3 linked regions of the Arabidopsis thaliana genome follow. The protein of the gene in region 1 interacts with the protein of each later gene in a pairwise test. Each region holds a gene or a part of one and is shown on either strand. Other genes may lie near its edges.

Region 1 (11,045 bases):
TACCTTGGATCGGATCTATACAAACACTTGAGAACATCATACACACAAAAAACAGTTGAATGGTTTCCAAGAAGACGTTGTAATGTGAAGAAAGTTGTACCGAAGATGAACTTGTCGAGACTAGTGTGTGGGAGGAACTCATAGACAAGAAGCCTTTCAGTTCCTTCTATTGAGTAACCTAAGAGCTTCACGAGATTGCGATGCTGAAGCTTAGCCACCAACAAGAACTCGTTCTTGAATTCGGTTTCACCTTGTTGTGCATTTTTCGACAACCTTTTCACCGCTATTTTTTGTCCATCAGAAAGCACACCCTAATGATAATATACAAGAATGTTATGATAAATCGTTATAACAACTGATTCTTCTTAAGTTTGAAAGAGTACCTTATAAACTGCTCCGAATCCACCTTCTCCAAGTTTATTTTCTAGTGAAAAATGACTTGTTGCATCTTGTAATACACTGAAATCAAATTTCATGGAATCCGTGCTAATATTTTCATCTGTAAGTAAAGAAATGAGATAAACCATGCATTGATAAAATGGAGTTAGAAATCACGGCAAATATCAAAGGATCATTGAAACAGAGGAAACAGAAGGAAAAAAAACATGTAAAACAGAACACACGAAAAATCTCCTTTCATATCCGATTTTGATAGCTTACTTTCATGTTTGTTTTCTGAATTTCTGATGTTCTCCTTCCTTCTCAGCTTTAGGAAAACGACTAAGAGTACTATAAATAAGACAACAATAGCAACTGAAGCAGAAGCAAAGATCAAAGCTTTAGGTACACCTCTGTTTTTATCCCCTGAACAAAAACCAAAACACACTTAAAATGTTTAATACTGTAAGTCTGTAACATTGGGAAATAAAAAAATCTCTACAGTCTGATTTGAATCCTAGAGTTCAAAACTTTCAAATCCATAAGAAGTAGCAACCCTACCTTGTGTGACACTTCTTGTCTCATTCTTTGGCGGCCGTGATGGCGTTGCAGGCACTGAGCTTGGATCATCAGTGTCCACTGGATCATAGAATCTCCAGGGAGCATAAGCCAACATACAGCTAGGAGACATCACATAACTACCCATTTTCATATCACAACAGCTTGGGATCTTTGCAATACCCTGAGACAAACAATACGAACAATCCTCTTCCGAAATATCCGGTGTGCACTGAACCAGACCGAACAATGTCTGAAATGAAGGCCCGCTCGTTTCGCCTACAACAAAATTCTTCTTGCTCCGACCAATAACAGAGGCTCTGTTTTTAAGCCCTTCGAGTAAACCCCTTAAAGATTTCTCCCAACTATCACGATCTCCGGTGAAGTTTCTTGTTCCCGTTATACTTGTGTGAGGGGAAATCTCCAATCTATTGAAGATTGTCCGGTTTGAGTATCTAAACGTACATTTGTCATACCAAATAATCGCCTCTTTCTGAACCGGACACAGCGTGACAAGTCTTTTTCCAGCCATTGCGATGCAGTTGATGCAAACTTCAAGTTTGACATCGCCTCTACACTGTGAGATTGAATTGACTTTTTCATCGGAGTCTCCCACTGAGATGTTGTAAAATCCGTTAACGTTACGTCGGAGAGATGATAAAGAGGAGATGAGGCGGTCGAGGTTGACGGCGTAAGGGGTGTTAACGGTGAAGTTGCCTGTGACGTTTGAGCATATTTGGTTTAACGGAACCGGTTGCGACTTAACGGTGAAGCATTGGATTTGGAATAAGAGTGAGATCAGAGGAAGAAGAAGAGACAACATCTGAGTTATTTCTGTTGATCATTGTCTAAATTGTTAGAACGGGATTTAACACGCCATTAGGCGTTGACCTTTGACTCTGTTCATCTTTGAAACGTTTGTTTATTGTAAGCTAGGCTGTTTTGAAAATTCGACAATAATTCATAGAATTATGAGTTTGTTTATCGATTTTAGACGCTCGTGTCAATGTCATGGAGCGGATGGCGAGTATAGTTTTATGTTGTAATGCACAACTTGTTCTGTTTCTTGTCAGCAAATAAAAACTACTTGTTAATCAGCATGTTGTCAGAGTTCCCCTAAATTATAGTATATAATGTTGAAGGAGAAAAGATGGGGCAAATATCAGACGATAAATGTTATCTTCTATGTAAGTAATTACACAGCTGGGTTCTAAATATCTTCTACATCTAATTAATGACCTCAAAAATTGTTACATATATGTGATCCTTGTGAATTGGATCTAATGAAGCTGAGAAGTGACGGTGATAAATGTATCTACAGGGCAAGGGATGGTCAAGCCGCCCATTGGATGATCAAACCCAAACTCTTGTTCAGATTTACTCAACAAAGCTTGAAATGAAGGCTGGTTCAAATATGAGACTGGCACTATGTATCTTTTCATCTGGCTTTCTCCAACGTACACTGCAAGAAACCCTTTTGGTGTCGAAGCTGCCATTGATCGACCTTGAAAGATCTTCTTTGCGCCCATAAGACCTCGGAACACTCCCATTTTTTTGTTCTGCTCTGATGGATCCTGGAAAAAGATTCAGCTTAGAAGTCTCCTTTAGCTTATCAGATTAGATGAAGAAGTTGTTATGCTCACGATATGAAAACAATGCAATATATATATACAACCAATTTCGTTCATGTGATAGAAACCGTGGGCTTCTTATACAAGAGTGGGACATGCATAAGAAGAATTCACATGGCTCTGTCTTGCATGTTATAAACTGATAATTGAATATGGATTATATCTGAAAAGAATTCATGACACTAGAAGACTAACAACAACTTCGAGCGCACTTCACATGAAATTGTCGATGGCACATATACATCTCTTTGGAATGGTATGTAGATGATGTACGTGGGACCTTTATGTTATATACCTACACAGCACCTGAAAAGTCTAAGTCACTGAGTCAAGTAGCCAAGTGGCTACACATAATTGATAATCCATTATCCATCTGACTAACCCTCCATATTATCCGTGAGGGCACTGTCCTGCAAGTGTTGAGAAGAGAGAAATAGAAAAGACAGAGGGCCCGCCGTTTTTTCACGCTTAAAACAACACGTCGTTCTTCTCTCTGCACCTTAACTGTGTGGCGCTTTATGGGATTAGCGATCCCGTTACTAGTTGCAACCAACTAAATAACACGATGTTTCTCTCTTTCGCAGAAAAACTGCATGGCGTTCAAGGATCCCCTCTGTAGTTCGAAGAAGAAATAAGCGAATGGGGAAAATTGCGAGATCGACAGCTTATCGCCGATAGCGCGTTTCTACTTGTGTGATTGGGCCTTAATTCAAAATTTATCAGAACGAAGCCCAATTCTCAGTGATACAATATAAACTTATAACATTTTTTGTATGGATCCCGGCCCGCGTAAACCATTTCCAGTCCCGTATAAGAAAAGTTGGATCGAAAGTATGTATTTCGGTAGGTATTTAACAAAACAAAAGGGGTTTTAGCAAAAATATAAAACGAAAAGGTATTACAATCTAGTGAAAGCTACTTGGAGTGGAACAAAGTTGTAGAATCTGGTCTCTCATATCTCATTTCCTCTTGTTTTGTAAAGATGGCATAGTCGCCTTTTGTAGCTTGTACCAGAAAAGGGAAATGTTAGGGATTCTGTCCTTTTACATTTTGTTTTCTTGTTAAAATTATTATGAATCTATCCTACGTTGAAGAATGTGTATGGTAACAACCCCTCCACTTCTAATTATTAGGTTTATATCTTCTTCATTTTTTTGTCGGCATTAGGTTTATATCTACATCTACAAAAGAACATAGAAAGTAATTCGAAATTTAACCTATCTATTATTCAAAATATATATATATATATATATATATATGTTTTTGGTTTTTCTTCTTTTTCTTTTGTGAAATCCAAAATAATGTCAAATCTTAATTTTGGAATTATTCTCTCCGTTTTATTAATAATTAAAAAATCACGTCAATTAAAAAAAAAATCTAATAATTTAATTGCCGTGATTTAGAAAATCTGCTTAATCCATAGATAGCCGCACTAGAGCCGGCCGGCTTTGACTTTGGTTGAAGTGTTTGACGCCAGCTCAGAGGCGCCGACCAATGAAGGACGAACACAGAAGGATTAATTAGCAACAAGTGTCCCCACGATTTTTCATCAACGATTGACACGTCATCACAAATCAAGAGGGTAAATTGCTCTTGTCAGAAATCTTTAGCTCCGTCAGTTATGTGGAAAATATAATTAATTCACACGACTCGGTTACTGATTTTATATTTTTATCCGTGGACTGGCATGTATGCACACAAGTGTTATTGCCCGTGTCATACGGACCACATCCACATAGTAGCTTAAGTGGTCAAGATTGTTCGATGTTCCATTTATGTTTTCTGGAGTTTGCTTAGTTCGTCGGTCTCTATTTATAATACGTCATGATCGTGTATTTAATTACATGTCAACTAATATTATTAATTACAAGTAGTCGGAATATAAGTTCAAAAAAATGATACAGCCAAACATTAGTCGGAAAAAGATATTAAAAAGGAACCGACCATTGGCTAAAAAGACACAGTCATTATGACTAAACATCGTGTTCTTTATGATTTTCTTGTCGGTTACTGAAGTTAAATAGCGAACCTAACACGCCCCATGAGTAAGTAATCCAGATTGTGTGAAAAGTTTATGTAAAAGAAAAGATACGGTCATGTAATCATGTTACAAAAAATGACAAAAACGCGAACGGAAATTCAATGATTTTTTTTGGATAAAGAAGTTCATGAATATTAAATTAGACTTTTATGACAGATTAGTTTAGGTAATCTTAGGTGGGGAAAAAAACACAAGATGCTTTCGAAGTTATAGTCTAGCTAAGGATATATGGTTAATATACGTTTGGTGGTGGCGAGTCCACAAATATAAAATGAACTCAATATATATATATATATATATTTTTTTTTGTCGGAAACTCAATATATATAAATTTAGTCATAAATAGCAAGAAATTTATAAATTCTGTTTTAATCATTTTTAATTAACAACTAATATTTTCCTGACTTCTATACACATATAAAGAACAGGCAAGTCCGAACCAAATCAGAACAAAATACTCATACACACACACACTTGGATTTAAAGAAAAAAAGGAGTTTTCCTTCTTCTTTTGGGTGTGTCAAGTTTCTGTTCTTCCTTTTCTCGTGCTTCCATCACGAGATATCTCACAAGGCTCTCGCGACTCAAGAAAGGTAAAGATAAAGAAAGAAGAAGCAAAGATTCCATAAATGGACTTGAAAAGCAACAACCACCAGCAACAGCAACAAGTACTTGATGGCTCGGACATAGTTGAGCTGGTGGAAAACGAGAAAGTGTTCGACAAGTTTGTGGAACAAAAGTTTCAACAGTTAGACCAAGATGAAGATGGTAAGCTCTCCGTGACTGAGTTACAACCCGCCGTTGCTGATATCGGCGCTGCTCTTGGTTTGCCTGCTCAAGGAACTTCTCCTGATTCCGATCACATCTACTCCGAGGTAATTTCCTTTTCTTCTTTCTTAATACCTTTTATATTCGTGATCTATGGTCCAGTCCGACTAATTTGCATATACATATGTTAGCATTTTAATTTCTTAATCACTTTTCCTGTATTATTGATCTTTCAATTGTTGGTTATCATGTGATCTTTGATTTTTTCCGATTACCGTATATTTTAATGCTAGTAAGAAATGTTTTCAAATTGGCCGGCGTACTAACTACTAACTAGAAATGTTCGCATCTAATTTTTGTGTTACATCTTTATTTTTATTTGATTTCAGTATTCATTTAACTGTTAACAATTCTTCTTGGGGTCTATATATGCCCTTTGCAAATTCTTTAACTTTGTCACTAGTCTGTGAGATGGAGTCGAACCTCTCATACCGAGGGACACAGGTTGTTTAACTCTCGCCATTTTGTGCATAGATTTTTAGGATCTTCGAAAGGTCATACTAAGTCGTAAATCATATAAAATTATATATAGAAAACCTCAACCATTTTACCATAGTTGTTTAAGTTATCTTCTTGATACTTACGTGGTGGTCTGGTGGATTCATCCTATATATTTTTTTTTTTCTAATATTAAAATGTGTTTTTCTTTACAGTAAACTAGGTCAAAAAATAATAGAATCAGTTAGTTGTTTTAAAGAAATGATAATAGCTTTGGTCGGTGACCTTATCCTCTATCATATCTCAAACTAGCCCCTCGTGTCGCTCTTCTCCTGTCGTTTCAGTGTTGAAACATCGCTTTATAAATCATCACCTAGTTATTATTTTACTAGTTACTGTATAAAGACTGTTATAGTATTTTGTTTATTTATTCGTTATTTACTTATGTATGACTATTTTTCTCTATTTATTTAGTTTGGCTAAACTCATACAATTTAGGTGAACTCAACAATTTCCAGTATAATGCTTGTCCTTTCTTGACGGAAAAAAGGTTTCTTTTTCAAATAATTAATATTTTATCAATTAAAGCTTTTATCTTTTTAAGCATTCGGTCTGCGTAAGGTTTCATTTTCGTTCAAGACTTTCTTGACATTTTTTAAAAACAATATCCCATATCACATTTTTCAATCCTCTTATTTATGACATAATCTGTGACGAAATCAAACGCCGTTTCCTATTTTACGAATATCCAACAAAAAAACGTACGAGTATGAGTATCACAAAAACTATTTAGTGGACCAAAAACAAGTTACAAGTACAATAGTAATATTTTTTTATCGACATGGAAACCCCAAATTACGTCGTGTTTCGCATGAATCACGTGGATTAATTAATTAGATCAAGAGGACATTGATTGTAGATTTGTAGTTATTAGCTGCAAAGATATCCAAGAAGAAGTAGTAAATCTGAATACGAATCTCTCTCTTAGTGGATACAAATCAGTATCCAATTACTTATCGTTAGGTTTAGCTTTTGGTGTATTTAAAGAAGAGACAACGAGATTAAACCAATAACCCTCTAGCTGTCTTATCCGTACATTTATTTTTCATCGTTTGTAACGTTATAATAAACTATATACAGGTCCTAAACGAATTCACTCATGGGAGTCAAGAGAAAGTGAGCAAGACAGAGTTCAAAGAAGTGTTGTCGGACATTTTGTTGGGTATGGCTGCTGGTCTGAAACGTGATCCTATCGTCATCCTCAGGATGGACGGTGAGGATCTCTCGGAGTTTGTCCACGGCCCTGGATATGAAATCGAGAGCATTTCTGTTTTCTCAGAGCTCTCCAGTAGCAAGGACGCATCGCTCCGTGATTGTATCGTCAAAGCTCTCCAGTCTCTTTCTGTTGATCATGGAATGCCTCCTTCCAACGACCCATGGGTACCTATTTATTTTATTTTTATATATTTCTGTTAAGCTATGGATTTTCCTAATTTAACTTCAAATCTAAATTTATATGATTGATAAAATAAAGCATATAATATTAAGAACCGTTTGTTTTTGTATTTTTACCAAAACCGTAAAAATACTTTTCGGGTGTTTTTTTTTTGTTGTACAAAATATCAGAACGATACTTACATGGTGGGAGTACATATGATACGTAATATGTATCCAAGTTCGTATTTGATGTTATATATGTTGCTAGAGACAACTGAGTTTTGCCTAAAAAGCAAAGTCCTTGTAACAGGTGATGAGCAACATCGTAGAACCAATTGTTGACTCTTGTCTTGATGAAGAAGATAAAAGAGAGAAAAGCGCGTCTCAGGAGAGATTCTTGGAAGCATTCAAGAGAGTCGTGGAGAGTGTGGCTCAGCGTCTCAATGAACAGCCCGTGATCGTTGCTCACAGCGAAAACACCTTTGATGGGAGCGGTATCAGGAGGCTCTTGTCCAATAAATTCGAATTCGATAAGGTAAACTACCATACATATATATGTTATCTAGCTTTTATGCTAAAGGAAAACTTTTTAAATGATGGTAACGAGTGATGATGATCCGGAACGGTTTGGTCGCAGGCACTAAACGTTGCCATGGAGACGATTCCAAAAGACCGTCAGGGTAAGGTGTCTAAAGGATATCTACGAGCTGTGCTTGACACTGTTGCACCATCGGCCACTTTACCACCAATAGGCGCTGTGTCCCAGGTAAATAATGCCCCGTCTAAATTATTTTGTCTTTTAAATTGTTTATTTTGCCTTTGAATTTACATGTTACAATTATTTGTTAAACAAATGAAACCAGAATTAGTGTTTTAATCAAAAATTATTAGTGAATTTTTATTTTTATTTTTTGAACGGCATTGATTAGTTAAGTTTGTTTTTGTTTATAAGATGGATAATATGATAATGGAAGCGTTGAAGATGGTGAATGGAGATGATGGAAATGTGGTGAAGGAAGAAGAGTTTAAGAAAACAATGGCAGAGATATTGGGGAGTATAATGTTGCAGCTCGAGGGTAGTCCCATATCGGTTTCCTCTAACTCGGTGGTTCACGAGCCGCTCACCTCGGCTACCTTTCTGCCGTCAACTTCGACTGATACAGAGGAGCCTTCAAACTAATCATAGAAGGGAATAAGCAGCACTAGCAGCAACAAATGTTATATGGTTTTGACTTTTGAGTGTTTACCCCCAAAAGTTTTAGATTAATGAGGAAAACCGTCTTTACTTTCAGATGTATAAAATTGAAAGTTTGGGGTTTCCTCTTGTTGGTGTGGTGATTCTACTCATGCCTTTTTTTTTTTTTTTCTAATGACCATGGGATGCAATGTTTACTCTGTTTTTTAATTTCGTTAAAATTTGTTTACGTTTATGATGCTTGAATGGCTATGATGAAACATTTGAGTTATCTTTAAAAGTGTGAAATAAATATTCTGAAGTTAATTGAAGAATTTGAAAATTTGATTACAAGAGCTTGGCTAAAACTACAAGGAGACCAGATTAGTACAAAAACTTAGCTAAATTTAATTAATTACGGTCATTAGCACAAAAAAATAATTTGTTTTTATTATATTATTATTGGTAAGTGGAAACACAAAAGAGGACCAAAAGGTCCAAAAACGAATAAACTGTATCTCTCATTCGCCGGAGTTTCCAGCCGTTTCTTTCCGATTCTCGGATTTTTCCTGGGAATCAAACGCATCGCCGAGAATCGGAAGAGAGGGATAAGGTTATGGCTCCTCATGGAGATGGATTAAGTGACATCGAAGAACCTGAGGTCGATGCTCAATCGGAGATTCTTCGACCGATCTCCTCAGTCGTCTTCGTCATCGGTACTTTATGATTTATGAAGTTTCCGATTCGATCGATTTCTTCTTCGTCTTCTTACTTACTTTTTGTGTGTTTCTGACGGAGCTGCAGCTATGCAAGCGGAGGCTCTTCCTTTGGTCAACAAGTTCGGACTCTCTGAAACTACTGATTCGCCGTTAAGAGCTCTCCTTTTTTCGATTTTGCTTGTTTGGATTTGATCTCCATGAATCTCTCACTTCAAAGTTTACTTTTTTGCAGGCTTGGTAAAGGATTGCCCTGGGTTCTGTATCACGGCGTGCATAAAGATCTTCGAATCAATGTAGTTTGCCCCGGAAGAGATGCAGCTTTAGGTAAGCTTTGCACTCAATGCTCTCAAAGATATGATAATTAGCCTGTGAATCTCTCAGCATTTTAGTATAGTAGCTTTGGTTTCTCAAGTCGCTGCATTGTTTGGTATGAGGGAAAATGAATGCACTTTTTTTATGCTACTAACTGAGATTTCTCTCCAGGGATCGATAGTGTTGGAACTGTTCCAGCTTCTCTCATAACTTTTGCTTCCATCCAAGCATTAAAACCTGACATCATAATCAATGCCGGAACCTGCGGTGGCTTCAAGGTACAGTTCTTTTACTTCTCGTGTGCTCTGTCTTGACTTCCAGCATCCTTGCTAAGAACCACGTCCTCTCTTCTTTCTTTACTTGTGGTTTGGGTTTGATTTTGTTACTGCTCGTTTACTCAACTCTGAGATTTGAGTTGCATCATAAAAGATCTCTCTCTCTCTCCATATCTCTATTTTTATGTTGTGAAAGTTGGTTTATTTTCATGTAATGAAAGTGCTGATTGGCTGAACATTTGCAGGTCAAAGGAGCCAACATAGGCGATGTATTCCTTGTATCTGATGTTGTGTTTCATGATAGAAGAATACCAATTCCGGTAGGTTCATCTTCCTTTCTTTCTTTTTTCCATCTTTAGTGATGATTCCCTTTTTGCCAGTTCATCTTGCAAGTTCCTGAGCAATGTTTGTTTATCTCTCTAGATGTTTGATCTGTATGGAGTTGGTCTCCGTCAGGCATTCTCGACACCCAATCTCCTCAAGGAACTCAATTTGAAGGTATTTAATAGACTCAAGATGCTACTTACTCTTTTAACTATTTCAATTTTGACAAAATTGGGGTGGTTCAGATTGGCAGGTTATCTACTGGTGACTCGTTGGATATGTCCACGCAAGATGAAACATTGATCATTGCCAATGATGCTACGCTAAAGGACATGGAGGTAGTGTAATGTTAACAATTCTTATTACTGAATCTAACCAGAAAATCAATGAAACTGTTGTTTTGAAACTCTTTTGGCTCTGGATTCTTCAGGGTGCTGCCGTGGCGTATGTGGCTGATCTTCTGAAAATACCAGTCGTGTTCCTCAAAGCCGTGACCGATCTAGTGGACGGAGATAAACCTACAGCAGAAGAGTTCTTGCAGAACTTGACAGTTGTGACCGCTGCATTAGAGGGAACTGCTACTAAAGTGATCAACTTCATCAATGGGAGAAACCTTTCGGACCTTTAACTTCTGTTCTCTTCCTTTTTTATGGAGAGTGATTTTTTAAAATGCGTTCAACGTGCTTGTTGCAGTTTCACTGATTTCCAGTGATCATATTTCTCGTTAATAAATTTCAAGTTATAAGACGTTCTCTCCCTAGTGTTGCTTAAATTTTGGTAAAGAAACAATTTCAAAGATAACTTATCGACCTGAAAGACGTTAAATCCCTTGATAGGCAAAATATACAACACTGTAAAATTAATTCGTAACCGAGACACTTGGTGAAACCTCAAGACACATAAACGATGAAATCAGAGGTAAAGAAAAAT
Region 2 (9,579 bases), on another chromosome or scaffold:
ACTTGAGCAAGAACCGGCACGGCATGAGTAGGGCAAGTCGAGTCCGGCTTCCTCAGCAGCGTCGAGGACGTAGACATCTTCTTCGCATTCGACCTCTTGTTCTCCCTCAGGTGTGATGAACTTGACCTTGTAGGTAGCCATGGCCGTGACGCGGCCGCCGCGAGCGGTGGAAGATTTGAGGCCGAAGAGAGATTGTGTGTTGGCAAACGGGAGGGATCTGAGGCTGATTGGTGTCTGTTGACGGCGGAGGAAAGAGGTGCTTACGATTGCGCTGGAGAGAGCAGTGGAAGCCATTGTTGAAAGATGATTCTACAGATTTTGTGAGTGAGTTGGTGTGGCTTTGTGAAAATGTCGTAGAAACCGTGAGGGAGAGAGGATTATAAAGAGGTGAATCTGCCACGTGGCGTACGATGTGTGGGCTCTTGTGTTATCTTCTTGGTGATTGTCTCTATGTCTTTGTTTTACATTGTGCCCTCTTTCGTTGGTGAGAGTAATATGTGGTTTGGACTTGGGACAAGTCTCCATCAGAATATGGGACTAGGAAGATTCTAGGCTTATTTGGGTTCTAAATTGCTATTTATGAAAAAGAATTGCTGATATGCTTCAAATTGTTTTGTGCAATTTTATTGCTTGCAGGTCCCACTAAATTTTCAGATTGAGCCAATGCATGTAATTTCCCAACAGACTTGAGTCAGAATTTTCTTAGAAGGACTTCACCGTATATAACCCAATAAACTCACCCCGTGAAACCAAATTAACACCATGAACGAGAGTTAACGACTCCCAAGGCCCAACACATGACAATAATTAAATGATCCAATTGCTCCTAGATGACACCATATTCAATGATCTAAGTGAAGTGAAGTAAATACGACCAAAAAAAGATAGGGAAAAAGATTACAGGTAGTAGTAGTATAGTACACCCACTCGATTCTAATCTAAAGAGAACAATTCACTTACCAAAATGGGAAGAAAAAAAAAAAAAAAAAAAGAAGAAGATGAAGAGACAAAAAGCCCCCATTGAAGAATATATTATGTTCCTTCAATATAATATATAACCTCGTAAGAGCTTCCTTCTAATTGGATTTGTTTTCTCTTTTTTTCCGTTTACCTCTTCTAGTCGCACTTGATGTTTCTGTAGATCCTCCTTACAAACAGATTTGATCCCAGGTAGCCAACAGCTCCTGCAAAATTTTCACATAACGAAGGTTTAGTCAAATCAATAACACCACTCGCTAGTTTGAAGAGAGTGAAGAGAGTGAGCTCACCGCAAAGGATTCCAAGGCCAAGACAGAACATCATGGTGTATCCAAAGTAGAAGCTTGTCTGGAAGAATCCGGACATCTTGGTCTTTACGTAGTAGTAATAGATGGAGTATAAGTACACATAGACAGCCGTCGAAGCAGCAGAGAAAAATGAAGTCCACTGCCAGTGATAGTTCTCTGCATTCAGCAGGAAATATGTACCCACGATTGTCACACACACCGTCACTATGACGAGAATCACAAAAACCAGTAACATGAATCCATACACATAGTAGACCTGTCGAACAAACAAAAACAGACAACTTTCAAAAATAGCCACTACAATTTACTTTCGTCGTTATATGATTAGCAAAGACAAAGTTAGTCCTACTTAAAGAAGTACAGCTGCTCAAACTTTAGCTAGAAGTCTACTACAACTAGCGTAGGTCTTAATGTAGCTGTTGTGATTGGTTAATATGCATTCAGTGAGGGCTGGATTACAAACGCTGGTTAGGCAGATTGCTGAAGGGGGGTAGATTTTTAGGGGTTTCGTTGAAAGTTGAGAGTCTCTCACTAATCAAATCTCTCCGGTTTGGCCAATTGGAATAAGAATTTGCAATTCCATAACTTTGTTCTTATTAAGAGAAACTATATTTACCTTGTAATTCCAGAAGGATGTGAAGACAAAGTACATCTCAATGAAGATGCTTCCAAAGGGTAGCAAACCCCCCATCAGGGAGACGACTGATGGAGTCAAGTACCATTTTTTCTCAGGGATTGGACGTGGAATAGTCTTCACACGGCATGGATTGTTAGGAGCACCGCTCCAATTTCTTCCAACAACCGTTCCGAGGAGGGCTAAGGGGAAGGAAATGAACCCCCAAATTACAAACACAACCACCATTGTCCCAAAAGGAATAGCCGCAAGAGATCCATAGAATATGGCAATTGTGTTTAGGAGAAAGCCAATTCCGAAGCACAAAAAGGGGAAGAGAGAAGCCGTGAGGACCATGCACTTGATCCAATGTTTACCTGAATAAACCAGCATTTAAATTACTTGAATAGTTAGAGAGGAAAGTAACACTGGAGGGGTCCGCCAAGTCGAGTAAGTCATACCCCCGCTTCTTGAGTACATTCCACCGCTCACATAACCAGAGACAAAAGAAGTCAGAGCATAGCACACTATGAAAGTTGTGACGATTGCTCCTCTCCTGAAATAATTAGAATAAGAGGTGAGCAAAATCCAATATACAAGCCAACCGCATGTAGGGAAAACAACAACACAAAATTGGTCTCAAGAGAAAAGAATAGTGTAATACATACCCAACGTAGAGAGTTCCCACGATGGCCATTAATATGACAAGAAGAACCAGCAACGCCAACTGTGCACCTGTACCAACTACCGCTGAGAGCAGAACTAGACTACTTGCTGGCCTGAACACATCTCCATGCACAAGTTTCCAACCAGATTCTTCACTTACATCCCGTTCCTGTGCCCATCAATACTCACGTCAGAAATGGCTATGAAGCCTTGCATTTAGAAGTAAAGAAAGAAGTGTTGGACAGACTGCTAGAGAGTATTAACAGCTAAAAAAACAATTGTGCAACTAATGACAAATAAAAGTTGAGGAAACATCACCAAGCTCTCAAGATCATCATCTTCTCTAGCATACTTCGCATAATCATTTCTGAGAGTCCTCATCAATATCATTGAGACCAAACCGGTGAGGAAAATAACCATCATGAACGAGTTAAAGATGGAGAACCAGTGGATCTGCAAAAAGAACAAACTCTCAGAAGGCTTATAAAGCTTGAACAGAAATCTTGAAGAGATGGAATATAGAACTTTGGTAGATTCTTGGAAGAATAATTATGGCTTGCACTTATGAACAAGCATGAAATGGGGTATTCAGTGTGATACATTATAAACCAGTGAACCATTTGGAATCACAGACAGTAGCAGAAGGGTACAAGACTAATTCATAGCATGCTAAAAGTTACCTGGTGTTCAAAGAACGGATAATCCAGATATACGTCAAAGCGGCGAGCAAATGTGACATTTGTTGGAATCCATTGCACAGAATACGTCAGGTCCATTTTTTTCCCTGCTTCCAATGGCCTTGGGTTGTCTTGAGTGAGATTAACATGAATGATCTATTAAAATAGATACATAAGATCACAGATGTAGTTCACATGATATCCATACTATTGCTTAATGGCGTGGTAACAACCGACCTGGTCTTTGTTGTATTTGACAACAATGTTCTTATGTGTGTAAAGAACATGCTTGCCGTTTTCACTATTTTTGTCAGGATGCAGCTCACCCACAAAGCCTACAACAGCAATGAGACAGTATTAAAACTATATAAAACAAACAAAGAACATAATAAATTTTGGATGTTTCAAGTAAATATACAAAGTTCATACCCCACAAAGGTAGATCATCTGAAGTTAGAACCACCCGATGAAAGTCCACGCCAATCAGATGCCACAGAAAAAGGTGAGAAATAAGGTTAGCAATCCAAAGAAGTTATGTAAGATTATATATCCTACAACATCCAATGCCGTAAATGATATTGGTAATGCAGTGAAGTTAGATATCGGAATAATTTAGATTTGCATGATGTAAAAATGAACCAAAGGAAAACTCAGCAGATACAAAATGTTTCCAAACTTTACATAGTAGGAAATTGCAACATCATAGATAATAAATCAGCATTATTTTCATGAATTTCAGTGGTAATATGTACAACAGACGTGAAACATACCCATAAAAAATTCGAACCAGTAGCTAGATTCAATGGCATCTTTAAAATGCTTGACCTTAGCTTCATCGAGTTCAAGCGGACAGATGACACTTCTCTCGACATTCTCTGTGGAAAAAACAGAAAAGGTATTGTAACTAGAGAATAAGTACGAATGTACGATAACTGTTAACTAGTATGAAAAAGAAGCTTGTATAAGAATTGAAACGTACTCATGAATTTTATCGCAATCTCACTGTCAATCAGCTCATTTCCACCTAGAACTTCACCAAGACCACCCCATTTGTGAACATTGTTTCCAGATGGGCGGCAAAATGGAAGACTGTAATAGTTGTATGTTTCTTGTGGATTGTTATATGGGCCAACTTTGTTTACCCATAGGGTGACCTGCTCCTCGGCTTGATACTGAAAAAGGTGAAGGCAAAAAAAATTGACTTGACAGAAAAGCACAGAAATGTAAAAGTTTATGGGATTAACTAGTAAGAGAGAGTAAGAACCAAAATTCCATTAGAGAGAACAGAACAAAATGTCAAACGTAGACAGACAGATACTGATAAAGGCTACGTTCAATATCATTTCAAAAATCAGGAGTTAAAGTCTTCACACAAATGATGGTTCCATAGAAATAATGGCTCTTGAATAATGCTACCAGATTGCTCTTGAATAATGCATAACCCGCCTTTATCTATCATCTTTCACGCAGAAAATATATAGTTGGAATCGACTTTAAATGTCACACTACTTGCGAGCGTAAGAAGGCAGAGGAGCAAAAGCATTAAAGCTAGATCTCATGATCTCCAATATCACAAAAGGCAATAACAATTTTGAGCTGAAACTGACCATCAGCAAAAGAAGCCATGTGTGACACTTTCAGTATCACATTTTAGATACCAATTGAAAAAAATCATCAACCCGACCTCGGAACTATAAGATCTACATCTCGAAGATGCTAATACATTAAATGCCACTCAATTACAACACAACTCAGTGTTGATCCAAGTATTTGAACATCAAACAGGCTACCACGTGCAGAAATCAACGAGAATCTCAAACCAACATCAAAATTTCTTATTAAAATCGAGATTGTGAAAAGCCTAAATCACAATGAATAGACAAAATACGCCTAGACTTGCAACGAAAAGATACGCCTAAATCACAATGAATAGAAGCTCGAGGATCCTAGCAATCCGTAAACGAACAGATCCATGAAAAAAAATTCAATCGCAAACACCATGCAAATCACGGATCTACGGACACAGTGCTCGATTTCGAGCTGCATTAAAAGAAAAGAAAAAACGACTGGAGATCCGAGTCTTACCTTGTGATCTGAATCGGATGCGAACGTAGGAGTGAGAAGGGAAACGAGAAGAAGGAACACGAGGACGGCGGCGGAGGAGGAAGACGGCATCGTGAAAACCGGCGGACGATCAGATCTGAGGAAGGACGGAGCGAGAGATACCAATCGAGAGAGAGCGAGATCCTCAGCTCAGTGTTTTCACTTTGTAGAGATTTTGGGTAATACAAAAACAACGATAAGGCTTACAACTTCTTTTTTGCTCTATTAATTAATTGGGCTTGTAGTACTAAGAAACGTATATTAAGTTTAAAACCCATATAAGGTCTTTTAATGTTTGCTCTATTAATTGATTGGGCCTTTCGTTCTAACAAGTGTATATTAGTTTAGCGGCCCATATAAGGTCTATTAATGTTTTCATATACGCGCACGAACTATGTCATTTCAATTAAAATATACACTCACACATGGGAACATAACTTCTTCTTTTTTTGTATATATGTTGAAAAATGTTAAAAGTAGATGAAAATCATGACATAAATTCATTAAAAGGTTACGTTTGAGTGACAATCTTCATAGAGAAAAATGTGATTTATGGACAATGACTCTCTCTATATAGAACCAAAAGAATCTAAGGCGAATTTGCTTGCTGCTGACCACTCGTGTCGTGTAAATAGTGTATAGTTGAAGTGTTGAATTAGGGAGAAAAAAAGCGCGTTGGTGACAAAAAAAAACGTAGTTATACACTCGAATCAGCAAGGGAAACAAACATGTATGGATCGCATGGAAACTTGTGGGTCCCTCTTTCTTTTAAAAAATCTCGTATTAATTAAATAAATGGAAAAAAAAACATGATGGGAGTTTGTTTAGGCAGGGGAGATTCTTCTTCATTCTCATCATTATTTCTCTATTAATTTCACCCCAAAAAAGAAAAAAGAAAAATTCCAACAAGAAAAAAAAAAGAAAAAGAAAGTTGATTCTTCGCTTAGGCTTGAAATCTCTCCAATCCAAATCTCAAATTAACCTTCCATCGTCATCTCTTTCCCTTTTTTTTTCCCACTTTCTTTGCGAATCGCGAGATCTCGGAATCGCATCCTTGATTTTGGGATACTGTTTTTTTTTTTTTTAATCTTGTTTCATTTTCACGTGAAATTCTTAGCTGCTAGAACTGGACTTGAATTTCAACGAGAATTTTGGAGATTTTTTTTTTGTTTGGGTTTTTCCTTTCTGTTTTGTGTGTTTGGAATTAGGGTTGTCGAGCGAGAATGGACAAGTACGAGCTGGTGAAAGACATAGGTGCTGGGAATTTTGGAGTTGCCAGGCTCATGAAGGTCAAAAACTCTAAGGAACTTGTTGCCATGAAGTACATCGAGCGTGGTCCTAAGGTATATTCCTCTCTGTTTTTGTGTTTTCATTGCTCTCCATGAGCTGGTGATCCTATACCCAGATATGCATAATTGGAATGAATTGCTATTAAGCAGAAGAGTCGATTTTTTTTTGTAAATTTCTTATCGTTAGCTGATTGGGTGTTTAACGTAACGTTAGTTATCTTGTAGTTGTAATATTTTTCCTGAAAAGATTTGTACAATGAGTATTTGCTTTGTTTGTTTTTTTTGATACAGATTGATGAGAATGTGGCAAGAGAGATCATTAATCACAGATCACTTCGCCATCCGAATATAATCCGGTTCAAGGAGGTTAGTGAATTTCTTGTTGCTTGACATGGGTGGTGTTCTTGCTATGAAAAAGTTTGTTGATAATCTCTTATATCTTTCATCTTGCATTCCTTGTTGGGTTTATGGATTTTATAGGTGGTGTTGACTCCAACCCATCTTGCCATTGCCATGGAATATGCTGCTGGTGGTGAACTATTCGAGCGTATATGCAGTGCTGGAAGATTTAGTGAGGATGAGGTGAGCTTGCCATTTGAAAAATTGTGCTGTGCTTTTGCGAATATGAAATTACTAGTATTTAGGATAATCTGCATGGTCTTTGGAAAGATTAGGAGGAAGGGAACAAGAGAAAACATGTGAACCTCCTTTTATTTAGTATCAGGCATTAAACAGTTAGGGTCTACGTTCTAATCCTTTCTCTCTTTTCCAGGCGAGATATTTCTTCCAGCAGCTTATATCAGGTGTTAGCTATTGCCATGCTATGGTAATGTAGAGACAATGACTTAAGCAAAATTTACTTATCCATTGGCTGTTTGAAGTCGTTTTTTTTTAATCATGTGTTGACTATTTTGTTGCAGCAAATATGCCATAGAGATCTGAAGCTCGAGAATACGCTCTTGGATGGAAGTCCTGCTCCACGTCTGAAAATCTGTGATTTTGGTTATTCCAAGGTCTGACACTAAAAAAAAATCCAAGTTCCCCCCTTGTCGACGAGATCCTCTTTTGTGATTTGTTATTCTCTTTTTTTTAGTCCTCTCTGCTGCACTCTAGGCCCAAATCAACAGTTGGAACTCCAGCATATATTGCACCTGAGGTCCTTTCTCGAAGAGAATATGATGGCAAGGTAATCAAGCATCATGCACAATGCAATGAACTTCCATAAACCCATGAGTATTTATGATATTGTCATGCTCTTTACATTTTTACTTTTGAATTTAAAAAGTCATCTTTGTGGAAGTCGCTAAGATTTGAAGCATTTTTTCTTCTTTCAGATGGCTGATGTATGGTCTTGTGGTGTGACTCTTTATGTCATGCTGGTTGGAGCATACCCATTTGAAGACCAGGAAGACCCCAAGAACTTCAGGAAAACAATACAAGTAGGTTTCTTTTTTGAAGCCATGTATCTGCATATCTCGCTTTCGCCACATCCTATTCGTCAATGTGTGATCTTGTTATACAGAAAATAATGGCTGTCCAGTACAAGATCCCGGACTACGTCCATATCTCACAGGATTGTAAAAATCTCCTTTCCCGTATATTTGTCGCCAATTCACTCAAGGTATACATCAATCAACTGAACTAAATGTTTTCAAAGATGCCTTTTGATTTTTCTGAACAATTGAGCTACTTGTTGTTTCGTAGAGGATCACCATTGCAGAAATCAAGAAACATTCATGGTTCCTAAAGAATTTGCCAAGGGAACTCACAGAGACAGCTCAAGCTGCATATTTCAAGAAAGAGAACCCAACCTTCTCCCTTCAGACCGTTGAAGAGATCATGAAGATAGTGGCTGACGCCAAAACACCGCCTCCTGTTTCCCGATCCATCGGAGGTTTTGGCTGGGGAGGAAATGGGGATGCAGATGGAAAAGAGGAAGATGCAGAAGACGTGGAGGAGGAAGAGGAGGAGGTGGAAGAAGAGGAAGACGATGAGGATGAATACGATAAGACTGTAAAGGAAGTACACGCAAGTGGAGAAGTGAGAATAAGTTGATATTTTGGTTTTTGGTCTGTGTAAGAAAGAAGTCGTCGTTGGTTTGTTGAAACTGAAAAGTCTCTGTTCTCGTGTTTGCCTTTACAATGCTTTGGCTAAGGTTTTGGTTCTGGTTTTGGAGATTTGTAAAATTTGCAGTATAAGATGAACAAACAGAGAGGTTGATGATGAGAATGAGTCCTTTGCTACGCATGGTACTATGAACATTGTGACCTCCAATAAATATTTTTGTAAATTAGATTTTATTTTCCGAAAAGATTCATGTATTTGATTTTTGGATTTCTTATTTTTATTTTTTTTCGTTCCTTATCATTTTTTTGAAAATGCAAATCTATAAAATACAAATGTCAACAAAAAATCAAATTGAAATGTTCGGAATTCAAAAATAATTGTTTTCTTTTGTTTTTTTGTTTCTGATGCGAAATGTGAATATATTAGAGGGAAAATATCCCGCCATTAGGAAACCGGATAATCTTCTACGGCCTTGAGCTCAAGTCGGTGGTGGCCATTTTATCCTGTGCTTCGTCTCGCCGACTTCCCTGATTGTTTCGCCGCCGGAGTGTTAAAAGCAACGTTACAGAAGCAAGAGACTCCACTGAATCGAAAATGTATTTCCTGGCTTTCGTTTCAAAGTCATTTTTAGGGTTTTCGTTTTGTTCTTTCTCACACCGATTGCGTTTCTTCGTCCTACGAGTGTTAATATTTAGTTGTCGATTAGGGATTTCGTTTCGCATGGGTAAAGATTAATCCTTTAGACTCATGACTGATCGATTCACTTCAATTTCCTGTTTTTTTTTTTGGGAGTATTTTATTGTCTTCCAAGTTCTGAAATAGGTGGGTAATAACTAACCGATTCGTTGTGTCTCACTGGATTTGATAATTGTGTATGT
Region 3 (9,913 bases), on another chromosome or scaffold:
TGTGTAATGTATTACAGCCTATTGAAGAAGCTAAATCATTTTCCAAATAGGACAAAGCAAAGAAAAAGGGAATATAGTTGAAGAGTGATGGGAATGCGAACCTCTTTTGATGAAGCTGTTCAACATGATCAGGGCCCAGGTCATAAGTATTGTCGAGGATTTCATTTGATATTGCAAGCAGCGTATCCTTCATTTGTTCCACATGGGTAGAAGCTTCAGGACAAAGCCCTAGCTGCGTGGATATCAAAGCAAACAACATGAGAAACCCAATTGGTTTATGAAGTAACTATGGAGAAAATGAGAGAATTGGTAGCATACCTTTATTCCATGACTACAGTTGGAACATATTTCAGGAGGCAAACCTTGCTCTTCTTCTCTTCTGGAAGTAAATATATCCACAAACTTAGATACTGATGGTTGCTTCGTACACGTTGAAGGGCAGTGTTCCATCGCAATCTGGTCTACGTCAATAATCTGCGCTCCAAAGTTAGCACATGTTGAAGTTAATCTATTCTGTTATTCGGCACAAGTAATTATGAAAAGATTTCATTTTAGTTCACTGAAAAATGGTGCAAACTCTGTAAAGAGTATCCCACAAACTTTTTCATAATATATGTTACATTTTACTGGTACTACAAATCCGAATTGAGAAAAAGTTTCTTGTTCTCATAGAAAAAGTACTTATGATTTTAAAAATTTTCCCTAGTTGTATAAAGAATATTACCTCCATTATGTCATCATAATCAATCTCACCAAGACTAACTTCCCTAGGCTCCACCGGTCTGGCTAGTTGTGCAGAATTTTTGATTGGTGGCATCTCCATACCATTTGTAACAGTTACTGAATCTCTAACCTCATAGTTGACCCGTGGAACCTTGTCAATAATTATTTTATTATCACCTACGGAAGAGGAGGAGAAACTGTCAATTGATTTTGCAGTGCCTCTTACACTCCTTTGACTATGCTCTGGATGATTGTGTGCGCAGAAAGATCCATCAGCATTGGATGTAACTTTAAAAGTGGATCCTTTCGTAGAAGATGTACGACTAGTGCTGTCATTATCAATTGCAGGAGTAATGCCAGGTCTCAGGTAGGTATTATTTATTGATAGATTTATAAGAGTACACCAAGCCTGAAAACATTGGATAACAAAAGTTATATATATGTACAATGATTGAAGTAAGGCTTCTCTGCCAGGGGAAAATCAATCTGACAAAAACCAGAATTTAATTGCAATGGTGACCAAAATTCAGAGACAGGAAATGGAAGAAAGTACGCTATAGACAAGAAAATCCTCCACAACAAACATGCCGAAAGGTTTGGATTACGTTAAAATTCTGTTACCATCAAGAGTTTTCCTTCAACTATAGTACCTTCTCAATTTGTGGTCGTGCCAAAGTTTGTACAGTTACAGGAGCGATGTTTTCAATTGACCTAGACATAGAGAGAAACAAGTTTTTCAGACCACTTCAGCTAACAGACTAATACCTGAAGACAACAGAGAAAACCTCACAAGAGTTTCCATCACTGAATTATTTACTAGAAAGATCAAAGGATGATATTATGAACAACTAGCTCTCTTTTAACTGGAGGTGTTGGAAGTAACTGAAGAATGAATACGGGATTTTCACTCATAAAGAAATAGCCTTATTCTAGCTCAAGATCTCCTATATCCAGAATCAGAACAAGCAATAACACAGGTTCAAACGAAGCTGGAAAAGCTAGATGTTACAGCGTGGTGGAAACACTATTTATAAAGTCAGCGGGATTAGTTATAAGTAATCTTCACCAGTAACCAAACAATTGAACAGAAATGGATACAAAAACGCAAGAAAAACATACAGAAATAGCTGATTGGTCCTCAAAAGAAGATAATGCATTACCTTGCAGCCATTTCTCTATCTCTTCCCAGCTTTTGACTTTCTAGAGAGTAAAGGAAATTGGAGCCCATAAACTTATTTAAGGATGGTATACACTCAAACGCCTTGGCAACTTTCAACCAATTTGTTTGAGGAAAGTGACTTCTGGAATTATTAACTTCATGGAGATGACTCCCACTGCATTTACACAATCAGGAAGAATAAAACAAAAGATCCGTGAAAAGTTCTTTATAAAACCAAAATGGACAGGGATATGATCAATTTTGCCTCATTTTATTAGCACCGATCATAGATTTACATGCCAAAGAGCTTCCAGCAAATTTATCTCCTCTTGTCACCACCATTTACTGTACAAAAACAAAACAAGTGGCATTGCGATTAGTTGAATCTGATGAAATTGTAACATAAACTGCAGAAATTGCATACTGTACCAGCTGGAAGATACAATTGTGCCGATTTTGAGCTGTAATCATGATCGCTATGACAATTACAATACACCACAACGAATTTGACGATTAATTTCAAAATCTATGCATAGGAAAACGAAGAACTAACCAAATCCAGAAGCTAATAAGTTCTCCAACTAGAAGATGAAGCGATTCTGCTATAACTAACGAAAATTCCTCTTTACACACAGACGAACACCGAACAATACACTCAAAAATTATTCGCAAATGAATCGGTGTGAGAAAAAGCGAACAAAAACCCCTAGAAATGACTGGGAAACGGGAAGATCGAGATTACATTTTCAAACAGATGAAACTCTAGTGCTTCTGCGGCGAAATAGTGAAACTCCGGCGACGAAACTTTTCCGGTAAGATCACGAGGCGAGAGAGAAGAAAGAGCGCGTCTCCAATTACAGCTTTCTGCGATTTTCGTATGGCGGGATAGTTAAAAAGGTTCACTCTCTCTCTCCCTCACTTTCACAGACATCAAAAACAAATATATTTTGATTTCAAAGGAAAATAATTCCATGTATCGGTTTTAAATCCATATTTTAAAAACAGCAACGATAAATTTTTGAAAAATTATAACATGACAAAATAGTATTACACGAGATTTCAATTTCACAAGTATAAAAATGTTGTAAATTGTAATTTTTAAGCTCTGTTTGTATATGAAAATTAATTAGCAAAATAAACAAGGTGAAATCTGAGGTAATTTGCAAAATAGACCATATAATATACAAAATATTTTATTCGCCCAAACCGAACTTATCATCAAACCAGTTTGTTCTTTCTTCTACTGCAGATTTTACAAGATTTTCAGAAGCAAAATTCCAAAGCATTTATGAGACTAACCTTAAAAATTATGACCAAGAAAAGAAAATAAGAACTCAACACAGAGCAAGAGACAAATTCGACAGACCAACGAAAACTTTTTTTTCTTTTTTTTTTGGTTTTAGAATACTTTCGTGAAAAGAAAATCAATCTTTTTTTTTAACTGACTCGGACTTCTCCCATGCTAGCATGCACTTGCTTCACCGTCTTATCATACTCATCTTCTTCGTCTTCTTCTTCTTCTACTTCCTCAACTTCTTCCTCTGCATCTTCCTCCTTGCCCTCGGCATCTTCTCCTCCTCCCCACCCAAATGCTCCAATCGACCGAGAAACACGAGCTGGAGTTTTTGCCTCTTCCACAATCTTCATTATCTCTTCGACGCTTTGGAGTGAGAATGTCGGGTTCTCTTTCCTGAAGTATGCAGCTTGAGCTATTTCTGTAAGTTCCCTTGGCAGGTTCTTTAGGAACCATGGATGTTTCTTGATGTCACCTATCGTAATCCTCTGACAAGAAAAATGATAAGTTATACAAGTAATTATCTCAAAAAGGATGGACAAGCTTTTCGACAGAGTGATGATACCTTATTCGAGTTGGTGACAAATATACGGGAGAGGAGATGTTTGCAATCTTGTGAGATATGGACATAGTCCGGGATCTTGTACTTGACAGCCATTATTCTCTGTAACAATGTGGCACAACGATCAGTGGTGGTGTCGTGTCAACTCTTAAGCAAAGAATGCAAAAACAAAGAAACCTACTTGTATTGTTTTTTTGAAGTTTTTGGGATCCTCTTGGTCTTCAAATGGGTATGCTCCCACCAGCATGACATAAAGAGTCACACCACAAGACCATACATCAGCCATCTGAGTGAGAAGGAAGAATATAAGTACCAAAACTCTGATGATTTCTGTGAAGTTGATGTTTCCAAATCCAAACAATAAGATCATAACAATTTCATAGAGCATATGGGTCAAGATAAGTATTTGGGATCCATTGCGTTTCTAAAAAATTCTTTATGCATGGCTCAAGGCTAGAAAGCTTATAATTATCAATGAACAAACGCACTTAAAGAGTCGAGAAATGCAAAAAAGGAATGGCGATTAAATGATAAAAAATGGAAAAATAACACATTCTGGTCCTGGATAATTAAAAAGACATGTTTACTGCCCAAATCTATCAAGGCCACAGCAGATATCTGCCAATATGGGCGATACCTTCTTGATGTATAAACATATTATGCATGAGAAAAAGTTGAAAGAGCTACATTACTACGCAGGAAATTTTTTCAAACTATGATGTCTCTATCAAGATGCTAAGCATACTTGATATACTAATACTTGCAAACCAATAAGATTACCTTGCCATCATACTCTCCGCGAGAAAGAACCTCAGGTGCAATATATGCTGGAGTTCCAACAGTTGATTTGGGCATAGAGTGCAACAGTGAGGACTACAAAAGAAGAAAAATAGCTCACATGGAAGTGACAAGGGGCCTCGCAAATGGAGGGAAAAAGAAGAAAGAGGAGCTTGTTACAACAGGATAAATTAAGAAATCACTAGCACATTCAAGTGCATGCTGGAGATATATGGCAGACCTTGGAATAACCAAAATCACAGATCTTCAGGCGTGGAGCAGGACTTCCATCTAAGAGGGTATTTTCAAGCTTCAGATCTCTGTGGCATATTTGCTGTGACAATAAGGAACTAATGCAAGTAAAGGACTGATACCGCAGAAATTATGTATATCTGTGAAGTTAAAAAAACTTCGTAACCCATTTCTTTCTCTTACCATAGCATGACAATAGCTGACTCCTGAGATAAGCTGCTGGAAAAAGTATCTTGCCTGAAAACAAAGATGTGCACAAAAAGCTATCATAATCGGAGAAGCTGCTCCAAATGATTTACAACACATATTCCTTTTGCTTCCTGTACTACAAAACACAAATATAATTCTACAAGATTTCCGCTTTCCTTTCCACTCAATTAATCTCAGACCACAATACAACTCTGAAATTGATCATTTAGTACACCACCATGACTTAAAATCTTTAAATGCCAGGGGAAGCTCACCTCATCCTCACTGAATCTTCCAGCGCTACATATACGCTCAAATAGCTCACCGCCAGCAGCATATTCCATAGCAATGGCGATGTGCGTTGGTGTCAAAACCACCTGGAAATGCCACAACAGTGAACTTAGGATACCAACTTCCGCTGAGACTAATCACCATCGGTTTAAACATGACACCATGAAGCCATGGAAAAAATGCAGTTACCTCCTTAAACCGGATAATATTGGGATGACGAAGTGATCTGTGGTTAATAATCTCTCTCGCCACGTTCTCATCAATCTATTCACCAAAACAAAACCAGAAAAAAAAGGATTGAAAATCACATACTCAATCTTTGATCTTATAAGACAATGAACCAGTACTATGCTCACAAAAGTAAGAATCCCAGATAAACGAAGCAGAAGAACACTCCAACTTGCAAAATTGCACACGTAAAAGGAAGTAATTTGAGAGTTAGAAGAAGAACCTTAGGTCCACGCTCGATGTACTTCATAGCAACGAGTTCCTTGGAGTTTTTGACTCTCATGAGCCTCGCCACTCCAAAATTCCCAGCACCGATGTCTTTAACAAGCTCGTACTTGTCCATTTTCTCGTAGCGAAATCAAACAACAAGCCTAATTTCCACTACACAAAGTCACAAACCCAGAAAATCAAGGGATGCGATTCAGAGGTTTTTCGCGATGGCTAAAAAAGGCACAAAGTGATAGAATGAGATTTTGAAAGCAAAAGCGAAATTGTCGATATCCTTTTTTCTTATCCGTGAAGAAATTCCAAAAGAAGATATGATTACGAATTACAATGATGATGATGATGATGATGATGCCGTAATAATCTCCATCGTTCCTTGCTGGCTTCTTCTCTCGAAGTCACGATGGCTCTTATTTTTTTATTATTTAAGTAATAGTTTACTTATTGAATTATTTTTGGTTAATTTAAGAGGTATATTAATAAATGTGGGACCTACAAATTCCAATTCTATCGGTTCTTTAGTGACTGAGACGTCGCTATATGTGAAAAGGATATTTTAGTTGTCACAGAATTGCGTCTATTTCTTATTTTTTCATCTTTTTGCAATTTGCCGATTCTACGAGAACATCATTTGTTTATTGGATATGCTTTTTTTAAAGAATCAAGAGAATACGAAAACAACTTGTACTCAAGAATGTTTACTATAATTCTCTAGTGGATCTTTATAAGAGCTGGAGATTAGTTTGGATTTTATCTTAAAGTATCCAGTTATCAAAAAATGAGATTGTTAGGACTTTTTTTACCCGAGAGTATTTAGTTACAAAAAAGAAAGTTAGTTTAATATTAGATAAACTATAATTGCAACTAACGGTCAGTAGAAAGCTATATAAGTTATATAACGAATCTGAATATGACTTAGTTATCTTGTTGGATTGTCTAGATATGTTTTTGCCTTTTACGGAAAGATTCGATTTGGAACAACTTCTGAATTAACCTGAAAAACGTAATTAAACATTGACTTGTTGGTTGTTTGTAGAATGGTTGGTTTATACTTTCCGAATGTGGCTATGTGAAATCACATTTTGATTATATGTATAAAGTTGAGATATAATTTTAAAATTTGCAAAAAATTATTAGTTTTGTTAAAATAATAGGAGATGCAAACTAAATAAATTCTCTTCTTAACTAAAAAAGCAATAGATTTGTTACATTGAATGATGGATAGATTTGTGAGTTGTGACTTTGCTTAAGCTACCCCAACAGATAACGGATATATCATATAGATGTTGAGTAAGAAAGAAAAAAAAACATTTACGATTGCATTCTCGTAATGGGCTTTATGATTTTAAGGCCCAATAGATGAAGTAAGGCTAATGCACAACTTTAAGAAACGTAATTCTAGCAAGTGTTTATCGACTGCGTTGTAGGTTTCTTGTGTTCGTGGCACTATGGATTAGGTTTTAATATGGTTTCTAATTTCGTTGATTTCAGTGGCATAAGTCCAGTTGTTGCTTGTGGCAAACTGTTTCATGTACAAAAACACTTACATCATTACTAAATTATGTCATGGGTTTGGTTTCGTTAACAATAAGTCAATCTCCTTGATGAGTTTTATCTATATGATTATCTATTTGTCTATTTGCAACATGTAGTAGATTGAAATGGGGCTGCAAAATATGCTCTTGCAATTCCTAGTTAGATCTAGCTTTTGATAATACGATTATCTAATTTGTCATTTCGATATGATAGATAGATTGTTTTTAAAAGAGATCTCAACCACTTTTCTTTAACTAAAATAAAAAATTTAGTCACTTTTTATTAAAAATAACTAAAAAGTTTTAAACCTATCAGGACACTTCCATCAACAGTATTTAAAAGAGATATTTATTATTAAAATAATACAAAGTGGTGAAAAGAAGAGAGAAGTGAGAATCGTCTCTGTTTTCAGAAACTCTGAAAAATGTTTATGGCCACGTGTTTTTCCAGAAATGATTGATTTTATTCTTTTTATTAAAATTTAATACTTTATCTAAATTCAATTAAAATAAGCAATATTTTATTCATGAGAAACTCTTTTTTGAGAATCAACCGATGTAGATGGTCTCATACTCTACTTTGTTGATTGTGTTTAAGTTTCTGAGGATTTTTCTACTTTCCGACGTTATGCCAAGAGGCTGGTCTTCACTAGAAAACTACTTCCACCCAATTCAAGCAAGTATGACCTCTTCTCCCAACAATTTATTCATGTACTGAAAGGCCATTAGAAGTTGACTGAAGTGTGAAGGTGGAGATTATGTATTCACTTGTTGATTTGGTATACATTCTATGTAAGGTTCAATTATTTACGTTATATAATTATAATGGAGTAATTTACAGTAATTGGGTTAAAATGGTTTGATTCGGTCAGGTTGATACGGTTTGGAAGTTAAACCCGGCCTAGATATGATGTTACAACCAGTCCACATCTTTTATGATTTTAGTGGAACAAACGAAGAGTTATTTAGACGATACAAACAAGGTCCGAATAAGTGTGAGCTGTCCCAAGTAAGACCACGTAATACTCACCTCAACAAGATAGTGTTCTTAAAGTGTGTCAAACACAATCACACACACACAAATCATAAAACACAAAGACGATAATCCATCGATCCACAGAATAGACGCCACGTGGTAGATAGGATTCTCACTAAAAAGTTCTCACCTTTTAATCTTTCTCCACGCCATTTCCACAAGCCATAATCCTCAAAAATCTCAACTTTATCTCCCAAAACACAAAACAAAAAAAAATGGCTTCCACTGCTCTCTCAAGCGCCATCGTCGGAACTTCATTCATCCGTCGTTCCCCAGCTCCAATCAGTCTCCGTTCCCTTCCATCAGCCAACACACAATCCCTCTTCGGTCTCAAATCAGGCACCGCTCGTGGTGGACGTGTCACAGCCATGGCTACATACAAGGTCAAGTTCATCACACCAGAAGGTGAGCTAGAGGTTGAGTGTGACGACGACGTCTACGTTCTTGATGCTGCTGAGGAAGCTGGAATCGATTTGCCTTACTCTTGCCGTGCTGGTTCTTGTTCGAGCTGTGCTGGTAAAGTTGTGTCTGGATCTGTTGATCAGTCTGACCAGAGTTTCCTTGATGATGAACAGATTGGTGAAGGGTTTGTTCTCACTTGTGCTGCTTACCCTACCTCTGATGTTACCATTGAAACCCACAAAGAAGAAGACATTGTTTAAGCCTCACCTACTCACCAGCTTTTGATGGTTTAAAAATCATGTCTTTATAAATTTCACATTTTGGGTTGAGTTTGTTGTTACTAAAAACTATTGTTATCTGTTGTTATTGTTCCTGGTTTGGCTCACCATCAATCGATGACATTTTAAACTATGCAACTGCAAATTCTGCAACACTTTCGATGAGAATCTAACATTATCGTTTAAACATTGGAAATACATTTTCTTGAAGTCTAGCTAGCTTTGGTTTGTAGTTCTTATTCTGAACTCAACAATCATCAAAGTATCAAGAAAAATCCGATTTGCGAGCAATTGTGAAATCTTAGATTGATAAATTCTCTAGAAAGAACTATACATGTTATTTGTAGCTATAGAAGAAACTATGGAATCTTATACTCTAATTAAGCCCAAATGGCAAGAGAAGACATGAGTCCAGCTCCTAGGAACAACATTACATAAGATACAATTTGAAGCCTAAAGTTACACCTCATTTTTGTACTCAAGAAATCAGCAGCTATGAGATCCACTAAAGCCATGTACACAAGAATTCCGGCTGAGAGCGAGTCCAAGATACCTTCAGTGACCAATGCTCCGACACTGTGAGAATTGAAAGACGACGCCACTGCGGTTCCAATCCCGATCCCTATCGGGGTTGTGAGGGCGAAAAAACAAGCCATTATGGTCGCTGATTTGTTCCTGAATTGCGCTTGGGAGATGCATCCACCGAGCGCAAATCCTTCAAAGAATTGATGGAAGGATAGTGCTGCGATTAGAGGCCGGATTGTGCAAGGAGACTGAGATACTCCAAGGGATAGACCGATGATTATGGAATGTGACACAATTCCAAGCTCCAGAACCTAACAGTATTAGCACAAATTTTGGAGCTTTTTTGAAGAAACCCAAATAGTATTTGCAACTCTGAAAGAATCAGAAAAAAAAAGAACAGAGCTTTGTACCTGAGAAACAACGATATGCCTAGCTCC

Evidence for each region.
Region 2: the proteins of AT4G38810 (region 1) and SNRK2.4 interact in a two-hybrid assay, tested with the Arabidopsis thaliana proteins (one large-scale study listed by BioGRID).
Region 3: the proteins of AT4G38810 (region 1) and SNRK2.10 interact in a two-hybrid assay, tested with the Arabidopsis thaliana proteins (one large-scale study listed by BioGRID).

What each region holds. Positions count from the first base shown.
Region 1 is NC_003075.7:18,113,053-18,124,097, reverse strand, and holds AT4G38810 (Calcium-binding EF-hand family protein), read left to right. Parts: upstream 1-4,937; 5' UTR 4,938-5,237; coding exon 5,238-5,483; exon of another isoform or gene 5,484-7,014; coding exon 7,015-7,314; intron 7,315-7,621; coding exon 7,622-7,846; intron 7,847-7,948; coding exon 7,949-8,077; intron 8,078-8,263; coding exon 8,264-8,491; 3' UTR 8,492-8,815; downstream 8,816-11,045. Other genes in the region: CRK26 (cysteine-rich RLK (RECEPTOR-like protein kinase) 26), read right to left, coding at 1-15, 101-311, 384-499, 661-804, 940-1,759; AT4G38820 (uncharacterized protein), read left to right, coding at 2,246-2,467; AT4G38825 (SAUR-like auxin-responsive protein family), read right to left, coding at 2,217-2,486; MTN1 (methylthioadenosine nucleosidase 1), read left to right, coding at 9,102-9,201, 9,290-9,353, 9,437-9,528, 9,688-9,794, 10,037-10,111, 10,215-10,289, 10,361-10,453, 10,546-10,743.
Region 2 is NC_003070.9:3,655,160-3,664,738, reverse strand, and holds SNRK2.4 (Protein kinase superfamily protein), read left to right. Parts: upstream 1-6,130; 5' UTR 6,131-6,568; coding exon 6,569-6,688; intron 6,689-6,925; coding exon 6,926-7,000; intron 7,001-7,114; coding exon 7,115-7,216; intron 7,217-7,308; coding exon 7,309-7,332; intron 7,333-7,406; coding exon 7,407-7,460; intron 7,461-7,554; coding exon 7,555-7,647; intron 7,648-7,727; coding exon 7,728-7,820; intron 7,821-7,968; coding exon 7,969-8,073; intron 8,074-8,156; coding exon 8,157-8,255; intron 8,256-8,338; coding exon 8,339-8,689; 3' UTR 8,690-8,926; downstream 8,927-9,579. Other genes in the region: FD1 (ferredoxin 1), read right to left, coding at 1-294; TMN1 (transmembrane nine 1), read right to left, coding at 1,117-1,184, 1,269-1,542, 1,903-2,276, 2,361-2,455, 2,568-2,734, 2,884-3,018, 3,246-3,398, 3,480-3,577 and 4 more.
Region 3 is NC_003070.9:22,436,079-22,445,991, forward strand, and holds SNRK2.10 (SNF1-related protein kinase 2.10), read right to left. Parts: upstream 6,144-9,913; 5' UTR 6,030-6,143; exon of another isoform or gene 5,857-6,029; 5' UTR 5,819-5,856; coding exon 5,699-5,818; intron 5,512-5,698; coding exon 5,437-5,511; intron 5,334-5,436; coding exon 5,232-5,333; intron 5,005-5,231; coding exon 4,951-5,004; intron 4,850-4,950; coding exon 4,757-4,849; intron 4,612-4,756; coding exon 4,519-4,611; intron 4,025-4,518; coding exon 3,920-4,024; intron 3,841-3,919; coding exon 3,742-3,840; intron 3,665-3,741; coding exon 3,320-3,664; 3' UTR 2,985-3,319; downstream 1-2,984. Other genes in the region: FED A (2Fe-2S ferredoxin-like superfamily protein), read left to right, coding at 8,487-8,933; IRT3 (iron regulated transporter 3), read right to left, coding at 9,332-9,787, 9,887-9,913.